Drosophila melanogaster: one gene and its partner. The protein of the gene in region 1 interacts with the protein of each later gene in a pairwise test. Each region holds a gene or a part of one and is shown in the gene's direction. Other genes may lie near its edges.

Region 1 (7,750 bases):
CGGACTGCACCATGTATTTGCAGTGTAGTAATGGCGTGGCATTGGAGCGCAAGTGTCCAGATCCGCTGTATTGGAACCCGGAGATAAAGTCATGTGATTGGTCCAATAAATATTGCACAAATCTTCGGGCGAGTCAATCGATTTCTTGCGCAGCGGGCATGAATTTTAACGTTTTTCAAAGCGATTGCTCCAAATATGTCAAGTGTTTTGGCCTGAGAGGTGTTGTAATGAGCTGTAATTCAGGACTTTACTGGAATCCCGTTAGTCAAGTTTGCGAAAAGTCCCGGCGATTCTGCACATAAGAGTAAGTCCAATTAAAGTAGACAAAATTTTAATAAATAACATGCGGACACTTTTTTTCAGGAGCAGTGCAACGGCATTATTCATTGGACAATATTTACCTAAGAAATGAATAAAAAGATTGCGAATTATTAAAAATTTATTTATACTGTGGAAATTACAAATCGATTAATTAAAGTTAGCAAAATTATTAATATAATGAAACAGAAACTGAATGTTAAATTCCTATTGTTGTATATAAAAAAAAAAAAACACATTCAATCGCATTTTTATTTCACTGGGGTTTTTTTTTTAGATGATCTAAATAGATATTTTTGGATGCATGCAAATTTATTTCAATAGACTGAGACACTTTGGTAATGAACTACCCTATTGTTATAGAAACAAAAGGTAGTCTCAAATTCATCTCAAGGTGTTACAAAAAATTGGTCTCAATATAAATTCTTATTACGATGTAATAAAAATTTCATAGCACTTTATTCCCATTAAAATTGGAAAACAAGGTTAAAGATATTTTTAAGTGCAATTGTATCTAGTAAAATAAGTAATGGGTACACTGTAGCCGGATTATTTGCTTTCCACAGTTCCTAGGCCTTTTTCGTAGATCTTATCAATCTAGGTTTCAATTAAAAATATTACTAGCCTTGAAACACACCCCATACAGACGATGGGTATTCAAAAATTGAAAATTTAATGCTTCAGTTCAATTTAACACATGGTTTCATAGAAGCTCTTAGCAGATAAGGGTATAAAGCCGAATTCAACATTGAATGGGGGCTGGTAGAGACTGCTCTATATATAGATATGACGATGGGTAGTCTAAACAGAAAGCGAAAGCAAATAGTTAGTCTCAAAGGTTATCTGATTAAATTACTTCCGCCAATTTTTGATTTGTAGAAATAAATAAGTGGCTTGGGAAATCCAAAGCCCAATCGATAAAGCCTTCGCCAGATGCAAAGAGAGCACATACAAGTCAAGTGAATGAGTGTGGGCAGGGACACACTTGAAATGTATCCAAGAGATACACAATTGCGTATCTTTATATGCTAATAAATGCCAGTACATTTCCCTAAAATGGGTCAAAAGAGTCCCCCATCCGTTGGCATAGACTACGATGTTGTAATGCCCATAGAAACTCATTTGTCGAGGGGGACGTCAACGCGCCGCCCCTTCCATCGGCAGGCCAAGCCAGACCAAGTGATCGATTGACACGATCAAAGCGCTGATACGTAATGGAATAGACACTCGAATGAATAGCACTGGCGACGAGCTCCCAGCTCGGGCTCCAAGTGCCCTGATCCGCCTCACAGATACCAGCACTCTGCGCTGGTGTGGATCCTACATAAATATTCATGCTGGCCAAATGCAAATGTATTGGAAATTGCTCGCCTTCAATGAATTTGAGTTCTGCTCAAGCTCTAGAGTTTTGATGCTCGTACAGGGCAGCGTTATTCGCAATCCAGCAGTTGTCGCGATCGGAAGCAAATCGGAAAATCTCCATTGGATTCCTAGAACACGCAGCCGAAAAAGTATGTGCCTAGGATGTGTGCCCTCGCAGCAAGGACATAGAGCAAAAACAGCTCTCAAATACAAGGGATTAGTGAAGAAATAAGATAACAAAACATCCTATTAATTGTGCATTACGAAACGGATTACAACTTGTAGAGTTTTATTTGATAAAATTTAAATGTGAATTTCTATATGCAGTGAAATTGAAATCAACCAAAATACAGGACCTTATATCATTAGTAAATGGTCAAAAAGAACAATAAGTGTGTAAATTATAATGTGTGCAAACTAAGAATCTTGTACTAATCGAATCATTGACAACATCTAAACACAATTATGTGAAGATTAAATTTTCTTCCCAAATTTATTAAATATTTCTATATTCAAATATAAATATGTACATTCTGTAACAATTCATATTCGCCAGGATAATCACACAATTATCCTTTCGAAGTGTAAAGTGCTTATGTGACTTTCTTGTATTTTTTACATATAAAAATCAAAATAAAGATGTGAAAAGCGAAAGATATCAAAAAGGATATGTACATATGTATGATTTCAGACTACAAATTCAAACACGTTTGTGTCAAGAACTAAAATTCGAAACTTACATTAATCAGCCTTAGCGATTACATCACTCGCAAGACTGAAATATAACTCAAGATCGATTGCCTTTTTTTTGGCATCTAATAGCACAGCGTGCGTGCTCATTTTAAAGAAAAGTGATAACCTCTGAAAGTGACGGACAAGAAACACAGAGAAGGAGTATAAACTAATAATAACACGCATCTATATGGTGTATTGATAATACAATTCAATTTCATCTTACAGTTTGCTGGTTGTGTTGCCGCGACGTCGACGCCTTTCAATTGGATTCAGGGTTTAATTTATTGAAATGTTGCCCTTTCGCTTGGGCCTGCTACTTGGCGCCGTGCTATTCGTGGCAAGCGCAAATGGAGCTGCCATCGTAAGTTTCCGAATTGTTAATGAATCTCCCCGAGAATTGTTGCTTCTCTGTGTGTGTTGAATGGAACTAGAGTAGTGTAATGTAAATGAACTCGGTTCGAAAAGTAGGCGATAAGACATAATTTGACCAAGGTCAGTTTCTTACAAGCAGCATCTAATCGGGCACACTTGCACAGACCCTTTGAATGAATAAAGATTAGACTGACATTAGCATTGAATTTAAATCGATGTATTAACTTTCAGGAAAATGAGGTTTCTAGTCTGAACGACTTGCAGCGGGAAAAGAGAAGCGGCAGAGGCTAGTAAGTAGTTGGTTAACAACTATTTTGGACCAGATGGGCTTACTTCCTTTCCATGTTTATCCGCAGTTCGAGGGGACAAACCCAGTCTCAGTACTTAAATTTCGGTAAGCCTGAGGAGGATGGAAAGGCTGAGGCAGAGGCTACCGAAAATGGATCTCGCTCCACTGTGTGTGAGTACGGGTCAGATGAGATTCATTAGCACTTTGTCCATTGACCTCTTGACCTCTTTCAGCTGGCACCCATGGAATGGGTCAGGCTCAGAGCCAGTTCTCATCAGGGGACTGCAATGGATGTTCTGGCTACCAAACGGATTACCCTTCTTCAGGCAGAATTCTTGATGCTAGTGGATCCGGAGGCATCGGTAGACCCGATTCCATTATAAGCTTACCCGGAGGTGGTAAGTCGTATATAATCAAAATGTATACAGTTTGATATATGTTGCTCTCCCTGAAGTTGGCGGACAAACCGGAGCTGGACAAGCCGGATACGGAAGCCAACTTGGAGTTGGCGCTCAGGCCGGTGCCGGACAACCCGGATACGGTGACCAACCTGGAGTTGGCACTCAACCTGGAGTCGGACAGCCCGGATACGGAAGCCAACCTGGTATTGGCGGACAGACTGGAGCCGGACAGCCCGGATACGGAAGCCAACCTGGTATTGGCGGACAGACTGGAGCCGGACAGCCCGGATATGGAAGCCAACCTGTGGTTGGAGCTCAGACCGGAACCGGACAACCCGGATACGGTGCTCAACCTGGAGTTGGCACTCAGACTGGAGCCGGACAGCCCGGATACGGAAGCCAACCTGGTATTGGCGGACAGACTGGAGCCAGACAGCCCGGATATGTAACCCAACCTGGAGTTGGAGCTCAGACCGGAATCGGACAACCCGGATACGGTGCCCAACCAGGTATTCTTGGACAGACTGGAGCCGGACAGCCCGGATACGGCAGCCAGCCTGGTATTGGCGGACAGACTGGAGCCGGACAGCCCGGATATGGAACCCAACCTGGAGTTGGAGCTCAGACCGGAACCGGACAACCCGGATACGGTGCCCAACCTGGAGTTGGCACTCAGACTGGAGCCGGACAGCCCGGATACGGCAGCCAGCCTGGTATTGGCGGACAGACTGGAGCCGGACAGCCCGGATATGGAACCCAACCTGGAGTTGGAGCTCAGACCGGAGCCGGACAACCCGGATACGGTGCCCAACCTGGTGTTGGCGCTCAGACTGGAGCCGGACAGCCCGGATACGGAAGCCAACCTGGTATTGGCGGACAGACTGGAGCCGGACAGCCCGGATACGGAAGCCAACCTGGTATTGGCGGACAAACTGGAGCCAGACAGCCCGGATATGGAAGCCAACCTGGGGTTGGAGCTCAGACCGGAGCCGGACAACCCGGATACGGTGCCCAACCTGGTGTTGGCGCTCAGACTGGAGCCGGACAGCCCGGATACGGAAGCCAACCTGGTATTGGCGGACAGACTGGAGCCGGACAGCCCGGATATGGAAGCCAACCTGGGGTTGGAGCTCAGACCGGAGCCGGACAACCCGGATACGGTGCCCAACCTGGAGTTGGCGCTCAGACTGGAGCCGGACAGCCCGGATACGGCAGCCAGCCTGGTATTGGCGGACAGACTGGAGCCGGACAGCCCGGATATGGAACCCAACCTGGAGTTGGAGCTCAGACCGGAACCGGACAACCCGGATACGGTGCCCAACCTGGAGTTGGCACTCAGACTGGAGCCGGACAGCCCGGATACGGAAGCCAACCTGGTATTGGCGGACAGACTGGAGCCGGACAGCCCGGATATGGAACCCAACCTGGAGTTGGAGCTCAGACCGGAACCGGACAACCCGGATACGGTGCCCAACCTGGAGTTGGCACTCAGACTGGAGCCGGACAGCCCGGATACGGAAGCCAACCCGGATATGGAACCCAACCTGGAGTTGGAGCTCAGACCGGAACCGGACAACCCGGATACGGTGCCCAACCTGGAGTTGGCGGACAGACTGGAGCCGGACAGCCCGGATATGGAACCCAACCTGGTATTGGTGGACAGACTGGAGCCGGACAGCCCGGATACGGCAGCCAGCCTGGTATTGGCGGACAGACCGGTGGCGGACAACCCGGATACGGAAGCCAAATTGGCGGACAGACTGGAGCTGGACAGCCCAGCTATGGAAGCCAACCTGGAGTTGGAGCTCAGAATGGAGCCGGACAACCCGGATACGGTACCCAACCTGTTATTGGTGGACAGACTGGAGCCGGACAACCTGGATATGGAGGTCAAACTGGAGTCGGTGGATCGCCTGGATTTTTAACTCAGCCAGGTATTGGGGGTATAAGCGGACCGATTGGAGGGAAACTCGGTGGCGGACAATCAGAAGCCGCAAAACCTGGATATTGGGCTCAACCTGGAATTGGCGGACCATCCAGATACGGCAGTCAACCTGGAATTGGTGATCAGACCGGAACCGGACAGTCAGGATACGGCGGGCAGCCTGGAATTAGCGGACAGACCGGAGGCGGACAACCAGGATACGGAGGACAGGCTACAATAAGCGGACTCCCTGGGTATGGCACTCAGCCAGGAATTGGAGCACTAACCGCTGTTCCTGGCGGACATTATGGATACGAAACTCAGCCTGGAATTGGTGGACAGACCGGAACCAACCAACCCGGATTCGGTGGTCAACCTGGAATTGGCGGACAGACTGGAGCCGGCCAACCTGGATATGGATTTATAGGTCAGCCTGGTATTGGAGGGCAAACAGGAACTAGTGGAAGGCAACCCGGTTACGGAACCCAACCAGGAATTGGCGGACAGACTGCAGCCGGACAGCCCGGATATGGAAGCCAAACCGGAGTTGGCGGACAGATCGGAGCCGGACAGCCCGGATATGGAAGCCAACCTGGAATTGGCGGACAGACTGGAGCCGGACAACCCGGATACGGTGCCCAACCAGGTTTTGGAGGACAACCCGGATACGGAAACCAACCTGGAGTTGGCGGACAGACTGGTGCCGGACAGCCCGGATATGGAAGCCAACCTGGAATTGGCGGACAGACCGGAGCCGGACAACCCGGATACGGTGCCCAACCAGGTTTTGGAGGACAACTCGGATACGGAAACCAACCTGGAGTTGGCGGACAGACTGGAGCCGGACAGCCCGGATATGGAAGCCAACCTGGAGTTGGCGGACAGACTGGAGCTGGACAACCCGGATACGGTGTCATACCTGGATTTGGAGGACAACCTGGAATAGGCGGACAGACCGCCGCTGGAAAGCCCGGATACGGTGGTCAACCTGGAATTGGTGGATCACCTGTGTATGGAACACAGCAAGGAACTGGAGGTCAATCAGGAATTAGCGGTGGCCAACCCGGGTACGGAACTCAACCTGGACAAACCGGAGCCGGGCAACCCGGATACGGAAGCTTACCTGGAACAGGTGGTCAGGCCACAGCTGGCCAACCCGGATACGGACCCGGATCTCAACCCGGAATTGGCGGACAGACAGTTGGTGGGCACGGTGGATACGGTAGCCAACCCGGAATCGGTGGAGCGCCAGTTTATGGAACACAGCCAGGAGGTGGCGGCCAAACTGGAGTCATTGGAGGGCAGCCCGGACAGATCGGAGACAGAGTAGGACAACCAGGATACGGAACCCAGACAGGACAAATTGGGGCACCAGGTCGATATACAGATGGAAGTCAAACTGTACCTGGTGCTGTTGGCACCGGTGGAGTTGGTAAGTAGCTATCAAGGCGGTGGAAAACAATGTTTTGAATTGCTCGTTTCCCAGTTGCTGCCGGTACCAGCGGAGCTGACGATGCCTTCTCCCAAGCCGAGTCATCAATTGGCGACGGACAAGCGTCGGCAAGTGCTCAGGGCAAGAAGAATGGAGGCACGGCCAAGACTCAGGTGTCGGGAACTTACAGCTCCGGCGGAACCTTTAGCGCCAGTGCAATGACGTCCGATGCTGATCGTGCGGCCAGTGCACAGGTTACCGGAAATGCTGATGGAGCCGTGAGTCAGTCTCAGGGATCGGGAGGTCCTGCCCAGTCGCAGGCCCAGGTACAGGTTGCCAAGGACGGCGGCACCAAGGCCTCGTCGCAGAGCGGTGGCATCATCCAACAGAGCCAGAGCGAGGTTCACGCCAATGACAAGGGCGGCCTGGCGGACGCCCAATCGAGCGGACCCGGACAAACCTCCTCCCAGGCCCAGATCGGTTTCCGACCCGGCCAGGAGGCCAATCCTATAGCAGCTAATGGTGGCGGCCAGGCATCGTCCTCATCTGGCACTCATTCCAGTCAGAGTAGCTCGCAGATTCACGGAACATCGAGGTAACATTGCTATAGGATTATTGATTATTGACTTTAGCCACTCATTATTGGTTTTGTATTTCAGCTTTGGTGTTTCTTACCATGGTGCTGCACAATCCGCGTCGGGAACCAAAGAGCAGGTTGCTACTTACAGGGAAGCAAACAGGGAACTCTTCAATACCATCAGTCAGTTTGGCAACAACGCAAATGCGTAAGTAATCGGAAAAGTGAAGAAAGAAAGAAAAACATGTTTTGGGCTATTTAAAAAAAGGGATAACGTATGCTTCTGTGGTTTTTAAATTGGCAAAATATGTTCAAAATTGATTTCGAAAAGTCACACACT
Region 2 (7,709 bases), on another chromosome or scaffold:
GACGGATTTGTACGCGCGGTGGCCATGTCCAAGCAGAACATCACCAACTGCAATGTGCTGGAGGTACTGAAGACCTATCCGGAAACTGCCCAGCGACCGGAGAAGCCGGAGGAGCTCAAGCTCTGGCTGGATGCCATCGAGCTGTCCAGCCAGAAGCTGCGAAAGGACAAGTGAATCGATTGATTGATTCCATCTCCCGCAGCACAGCTCATTTACATATGTTTGCCTCATTTACTTAGATTCGTAGTCATCTTCTATTTTTTTTTTTTGAGTGCATAGTGAAGTAATTCTAGACTGGTGGGTTTTTCACACAAAAAAGAGCGTAACAAAATGTACACAAGTCATGAATCTAAACAATGGCCCATAGCAACTTAAAGACTTTATTTGCTATTATTTTTTCACTGTGCCTTAGTTATAGGAATATTGCATTAATGGAATGGCTGAAGATTTTAAATATAATTTTTTACAAACCAAAAAGTATTGTAAATGTTTAAATAATTTTAGATTGAACATACAATTTTACATCTTTCGCAGTTTGATCGTTTTATCACATATATTTCCTAAAAACGCGTTTTGCGTGGACGGGAGTCGTTGGAGTTTCTTTCACGACTTTCATTTATGCTAAGTTTGATATCACGCAACGCCAAGTCTGTGTCGATAAGTCAATGGATTGTCTTGTTTTCTATATTTTCTTTTTCGCTGTCTTCATTATGGAACAGTTAATTATGAAGACTGCATTTTGGTTATGTAATTTGAAACGAAACTGCTTTGGAACTGTTAACCTCAGAAGTTTGCAAATATTACACACAAATAAGCATAAATAATGTGTGCAAGGGAGAAAAATTGGTATCCAATATATTTGCATAATATATATGGATTATTATTTTCGTTATTATGGTTAAAACACAAAAAAAAAGTGTTTTATTTGGTTTTTTTGTTTTTCTTTGCAAAAAGGGCTGATTATTTTACTGCCCACTTAACGGAGGTTCATTGAACCAATTGTTGTCCTATGCTTTTCCATCTGCAGATAACTATTATCATACTTTATAATAATTACCATATTATCATTGACTTGGACAGCTGAGTGCCATCCGTAATCCGCAGCGTAATCCGTGACGTCATGTCGGATGCAACAGCTGCACACACGGCGTATGAGTGCTGACCACTTCCACTTCCCGTCGTTATTTATTTGAAATCTCTCCGTTTGTTGTGCTCTTTTTGCTTTTTGCTTTTGTTGTTATTTGTTTGGTATGAATTAGGCCGAAAAGTGGATCAAAACGTGACACTGAAATCTAAACATAAATCTCATTCATAAAGTATGCAGACGGCGCGCGTTGCTTTTCAGTTCTCTTTTGGGGCCGCACGTACTCCCCGATTCGCTCAGTGTGTTGCTCTCAGAGAGCGAGGAGCTTAGTGCAACTGTCAACGGTAGGTACACGTAGAAAAATCGTAGGTGTTTGCTAAAGAAAGTGCACTAATTGTTATAAATAATAATAAATTATGATAAATCAAACAATTAGATGAAACATAGGGCTGATGTAACCAAAATTGAATACCTTCCCAAGTTTTTCTCGCTGTGCATTACAACTTGCAACCGAAGCCACTTCGGCTAGACATTCGTGCCACTTCGGCTGCTGCGTGGCGGCGTTGCTTCTTTGCTATTTTTAACTGACAACGTGAAGAATTGTCAGTTTATTTTGAACAACCGCGGCGAGCGCATAGAACACGCCAAACGAACCGAAAATCTGATATCCCAAGCCAGCGATCCGAGTATCCGAATCAGAATCAGAATCAGAATCAAAATCAGAAGTGCAGAACCAAACGAAACGTTTGGGAACGCGAATCGGAGATTCCTGCGCCAGTGAATTGTTTATTTTCCTATTCTTTTTTTTTTCGAGTTAAATTCCGTGGCTTATAGTGCGAATCGAAGTCCGTTGGAAACAGTGCTAAATCGTCTTGAAGCCAATGTAAATGTCCTGTTTGTATAGATACAGTTGAAATACATACATACATATATAACATATATAGCATATAGAAAACCCGATGCTGTGACAATAACAACGAACTTTTGCAGTTTATTGACAGCAGCAACAACCACAAAAACCAGATTGAAAGCAAACAACGAACAACAACTTGAAGTAATTTGCAACTGAAAAGAAATGCGGCAATGGGGCAAAGTATAAACACATAGATTGGCCGATCGGCCAGAAAGGCAGCAGCAACAACACTGTTGTAACTTACAACAACAAAAAAAGAGAAAACTTTTCGTGGACGACACTTTGAAAGAGCAACAACAACAGCATTAAAGTGGGGGGGAGGGTCTCCAACGGTCAGATGGTGAAAATCTTTTTCAGAGCGACTGATCTTGTTGCTAAAGTCGTCGTTGTTGTTGTTGCAATTTTACCTACAGGTTTTTACCGCCTGCTACAGTAATCTCCCCGTAACATGCTACCCTGATCTTTTGTGATCTCTGTTTTCGATATTATGAAATATGACACATATGTATCTTTCATCACATTCAATCTCACTATAGTGTGGGAACTTGAAGTCTTCCTTTCATTGGGCTCGATAATATATTTTAACTATAATATTACGTGATATGGTATAATATCACCTAGCTTGGAAATTGTATTAAAGGACTATGTTTTCGTTTTGTAAAGTAATATCTTCGAAATTATTTATACACTTTACTAGGGTTCTATCCTGCTTAGATAGTTTGAAGGATATCATTTTCTAACACATCGAATGCAAGCAAATGCAAGTTAATAGGCTAGTGGAAAATATGAAAAGCTAATCGACTTAACCCATTACTGCGACGATTTGCAAAGTTTTCGGCTAAACGAAAACAATTTGAGATGGCAGCATTTCCCTGGCATAAATCACTCCGCCACATCCAAATCCCCATTCCCATCCACATCCACATCCGCAGCATCCCAGCATCCAGCTACTCGAATTATGATAAATGTCCAGAGCACGGTGGATAGTGTATAGTGTATAGGGTATGGGGCATGTAGGGTATGTGGCATATAGGGTATGTGCGGAGGGTAGGTGGGTATGGTGGGTGGGTAAATCGCAAATTTTCAGCGTCAAATGCCATTAAGCCAGTCCGCGTTATTGAGTTAAATTGGAAAATAAGCGAGCGACAGTTGCTGTTTGTGTGTGCCTTGTGCAATTGTTCGCACTTGGAGACGACGAACTGGAAACTGAAAACTGGGAACTATGAACGGGCAACTGGGAATGGTAATCGCAGTCGCAGTGGAACCGAGCTGAAAAACTGAAAAGCTGAAAACTGGACAGCCCTGGACAGGCCAGACCCATTACCCCGCCCAGTGCCGCTTATTATTTGCACTATTTCATTATTATTATTATGTTCGCGGGGGGAGGGGGGGCGGGCTGATCCTCATCGCGGATGATAGTTATTCCAATTATATGCTGGATAGCTCGACCCTCGAGCGGACATTCCGAACCCCACCGAATGTGAATCTGAATGTGAATCTGAGTCCGGATCTGAATCCGAAAGGGGTAGCGAGATTGTAGGAGGATCGTGATTAGGAGGCACGTGCTCCTCTGGACCTTCAAGTTTAGATCTATTTATTAGTAAGGCTCTTGCAGGTCGGACGATGACAGCTCAAGATATTAAATATCATAAGTGAAAAAGTATAAAAGAATTAATTTAAAGAATGTATGTATATATATATTTTAACTTTACTTGTTCCTGGGCAATATTTTCCAAATCCTTATTGCCTAGCAGTGCATTTCAAAATAAAAAATTTTTTCTCCTTGTATTTGGTTTTCATTGCTGGTTCACACGCAATCTTTTTTATTTTTTTTTGGTCAACACGAATTTTCCCAGATCCATGGGCTTGATTGCAACAAAACATGTGATCATTAGCATGAAACCAATTCAAAAACTGTTGCTTCTTTCCCATGAAAGTCGAGAAGAATGGTAGTTTTTGGCAATTTAACTCTTGGTTCTCTACACATTCGCAATGTTCCAAATACATAGGTTTTTTATATACTAGTACATATATACAATGTGGCGAATAATAGTGTTCATAATCTTCAGCACTTACATTTTATTTTAATTTCTTTAAAATCAATGAAAGTTGATTGACAAATGGACGGCCCTGAATGCTTTTTGCCATCCATAGTTTAAATATACAGATGAGGACACCCACCCATTTATTTGCTCATCTGCTTCGTTGACCATGGTCATTGCGGTCGCTGCTGTTGTTAATTTTGTTATTTTTTTTTATTTAGTTATTGTTTTCATTCAATCATACAAAATATTTGCATAAGCGAGTGTCTACCCATGTGTGGACATTTGTGGATTACTGCATTTGTGCAGCAGTTGCAGCTGCAATTGCCTAACGAATCGCCCCCGCTGGCACACACACACACATACACACATGTGGGTACTCCAGTTACATGGCGCTGACAAAAGGAAATGCCAATGAAAAAACATAGTAATAATACACATAATAATAACAGTAAACTATATTTGATATATAAACGAACAGAATTGCAATTGCTGCTTCAAAATGGATGTTTAATGGATGCAAGGTCTGGTTTTTCCACAGGATATACTTTTTAGGATGGAATTACACTAAATATAAAGGACTATTAAAGGTTTCGAGCTCTACCTGATGGTTTTTTTTTTCGTTTCAGATCCCGCGATGGGCAATGCCGGCTACACTTGCATACGCCGCACATTCTGCTGGCTCAACATCATTCTATGGGCAAGTTATTTAAGTAAAAAATCCTACTAATTACTAATAAGTTGACTTGAAATACACACCTCTATGCCTATAAGTAAACATTTCTGGAAAGATACATATATTCTGACTGCCGTCTCCATTTCCCCCAGAACGGATATGCGCGGCATCAGAATCGCAGGCAAAATCAAAATCAGTACGTAGGGCGGCTAATCAGAGCCACAACTTTGCCGTCGTCTGCGACGGAAGTGTCTTTGTGACAGCATGTTGCATTGTCTGAGCGCCTGTCATTGACTTTTGCGTTTGCTTTTGGCTTTGCTTTCAGCACAGTTTCAGTTTCCAGCTCGACGTAGACTTTGGCGGCGTGTTTACCCTTAGCTTTTTGGAGCTGCAGCTGCAGCTTCCGTCCGCTTTTGTTTTTGCTTGCCACTGGGTTTCCCCCGAAGTCCCTGAAAATGTCAGATGTCAGGCCGTTGTGAACATGCAACAGTTTGCAATCGAAAGCTCTCCATTTGGCCGTCAATCGGGGGAATTATCTGATTTCGCCTCTGAATGATAGATCCTTCAGCTATTCGTGCAGCAAAGAGCAATAAATCAAGGTCTGTGTCCAGGTGACACTGTCTGGAATAATTGACTCGTTGATTTATATCAAATATTAAGCTTTTTGAGTCCTTTAGGTATGCAGCTACCACCTCTCACTTTTCGAGCATTCTGCTGGATAATCAGTGCCTTTCTAATTTCTATTTTCCAATTTCCAATTCCCAACCTGACCCATTGCAGTTATGTAGCTGTGCGTTTTTAGGAGCGGGACTCTGGTTGCGACTGAGCTACGCGGGATACGCCACTTTGCTGCCCCAGCACGCAGGTCTGAGTGCGGACACCATCTTCATGGGCATCGGGGGCACCGGATTTGTGGTCAGCTTCTTTGGCTGCTGCGGCGCCTGGGTGCAATCCCGCTGTCTCCTGGTATTGGTGAGTAAATCGGGGGTAAATCAGGGTCAACGGAGAGGATTTAGCTCATGGCATACATGCATGTCGAATTTGTGATCTATGTACTTTTTTTTGACCATTTTCTTTCTGTGCAAAGCCATTCAATATCATATCTACCCGCAGTACTTTATGCTGATTGTAATGCTGTTCATGAGCGAGTTCCTGGTTGGCTCCATCGCCTTTCTCTTCCGCGGCGGACTGGGACGGACTTTGGCCAACGAGCTGCGCTTCGGGATCGAGCGGCATTATAACAGCAGCGATCGGGGATCTCTGGTGGCGCCTTCGGTGGCCTCCATTTGGGACAGCGTGCAGCAGTCGGTGAGTGGTGCCTTTCGCTTGTTGCCCAGTTCCACGTGCTCATTGAAACGTGATCCCTTTTGGTTAGTTCGAGTGTTGCGGCGTTTCCTCCTACGAGGATTGGTATGACATTCAGTCGTGGCCAGGCAGGCGCTGGGTGCCAGAGTCCTGCTGCAGGACCCTCTACGACCAGCGCCAGGTGCTCACCGAAGGATCCGGCGACGGAATGATGCGTCCCGACTGCGGCAGGTGTGTTCATGTTCGGCTCCTTTGCCTATTGTCCATTTGTTACATCATTTCGAGAAGCTAGCCACTATACCATTATTTCGCCAACTCTAGATCTGAGAATCCGTCGCTGTGGTGGGACAAGGGCTGTGCCCACTCGCTGCAGAGCTGGTTCACCGGCCAGCTGAACGTGGTGGGCGCCGTGGGACTGGGCATCGCCTTTGTCCAGCTGTTCGGGCTGATCACCTCGATGCTGCTGTTCTGCACGGTGAAGCACAAGCGGGCCTCGGACACCTACAAGTCATACTCCCCGTCGATTGATCCTCAGACCCGCACCAGCAGTTGGGAAGATTGAACGCGCCTGTGACGGTGGTAGGCGGACTTCTAAATTGGGGGGTTGCAGTCGGCCTCCCGAACTCCCTGTCGCTATCTCTATTCCTTTTGTTAACTCTCTTAGTTTCTAATTTATTCTGCGAAATGTGCCAAAAATTAATTTAATTCAAAGTGTATTTTTTTTTGTTTTTTTGTTTGTAATCTGTAGGCGGAGACAAGTCGAAACAAAATTGAACTGGCAGCAAAATGACAAATTCGCACTGGGCACAGTGTGAACATGTCATATTGCTGCCGGTGAAACAATCACATATTTAGTTAGCAGTGTATCCATATTGTGATGTGCTCTCTAGTAGTATAGTATAAGGCCCAAGGCCCGAAACGCACCTGGAACAGGGTATAGTGCGTTCCATACTTATCAGGCTGGCTGCTTAGCTGCAAGAGTACCTGACACATATATACAGCTAGTGTGAGTCGGAATCCTTGGACCTGGATATGCTTATGCTCGTAACCCTTCAACTAAACCAATATATCAACTACAATATATATTTATATATAATTATATAATACTTATGTTACTTTATGGAAATCTGTAGTATTCGAAATAGCAGAAACCGCAACTGCCCGAAAAGCGCGAGGAAAGCGAGAAGAGAAGAGAAAAGAAAAGAAGAGAAGACGAAGTGGAGAAAGAGGGAGCAAATAGTTAAAGCAAATATTACATTACTACTATGCGTATGATTATTTTATTCATACATACAAATATTTATATCGAAATGCATTCCTAAACAACATGTTCGTGTTAAGTTACAAAATAAATTAAAGTATTTATTTAAATTACACGCCTTCTCAAAGGCCCACCAATTTGCCTCCTATGATATCCAATTGAGCCGTGATCCCCTTCGTCACGCTGCGCGCCAACTCTTTGGGCTTCTGCAAGAGAGAAATGGGGGGAAGAGAGTGGTCAAGAGAGGGAAAGCTGGCACTGGAACTGACCTTGCTCAAAGCGAAGCGCAAGCGCACACGACGAGCGACTAATTGCATAAGCAGTGCCAGCGGGTCGTGGTACTGTCAATCTGGCTTGAAAATAGCCAAGACTCAAGGACTTGCAGTAATACTGACAGCTAAGGCCGTAAGTTGATAGGCTCTTTCGTA

What was found. Proteins that work in one complex are often made in the same cells at the same time.
Region 2: the proteins of prc (region 1) and Tsp5D interact in a two-hybrid assay, tested with the Drosophila melanogaster proteins (one large-scale study listed by BioGRID).

What each region holds. Positions count from the first base shown.
Region 1 is NT_037436.4:11,960,132-11,967,881, reverse strand, and holds the start of prc (pericardin), read left to right. Parts: upstream 1-1,750; 5' UTR 1,751-1,829; intron 1,830-2,640; 5' UTR 2,641-2,704; coding exon 2,705-2,776; intron 2,777-3,018; coding exon 3,019-3,077; intron 3,078-3,143; coding exon 3,144-3,247; intron 3,248-3,309; coding exon 3,310-3,474; intron 3,475-3,530; coding exon 3,531-6,833; intron 6,834-6,887; coding exon 6,888-7,428; intron 7,429-7,492; coding exon 7,493-7,618; intron 7,619-7,750. Other genes in the region: Muc68E (mucin 68E), read left to right, coding at 1-302.
Region 2 is NC_004354.4:6,068,835-6,076,543, reverse strand, and holds Tsp5D (tetraspanin 5D), read left to right. Parts: upstream 1-1,686; 5' UTR 1,687-1,967; intron 1,968-3,546; exon of another isoform or gene 3,547-3,682; intron 3,683-4,668; 5' UTR 4,669-4,676; coding exon 4,677-4,739; intron 4,740-5,495; coding exon 5,496-5,687; intron 5,688-5,828; coding exon 5,829-6,023; intron 6,024-6,090; coding exon 6,091-6,251; intron 6,252-6,341; coding exon 6,342-6,582; coding exon of another isoform or gene 6,583-6,594; 3' UTR 6,595-7,403; downstream 7,404-7,709. Other genes in the region: CG4666 (uncharacterized protein), read left to right, coding at 1-174.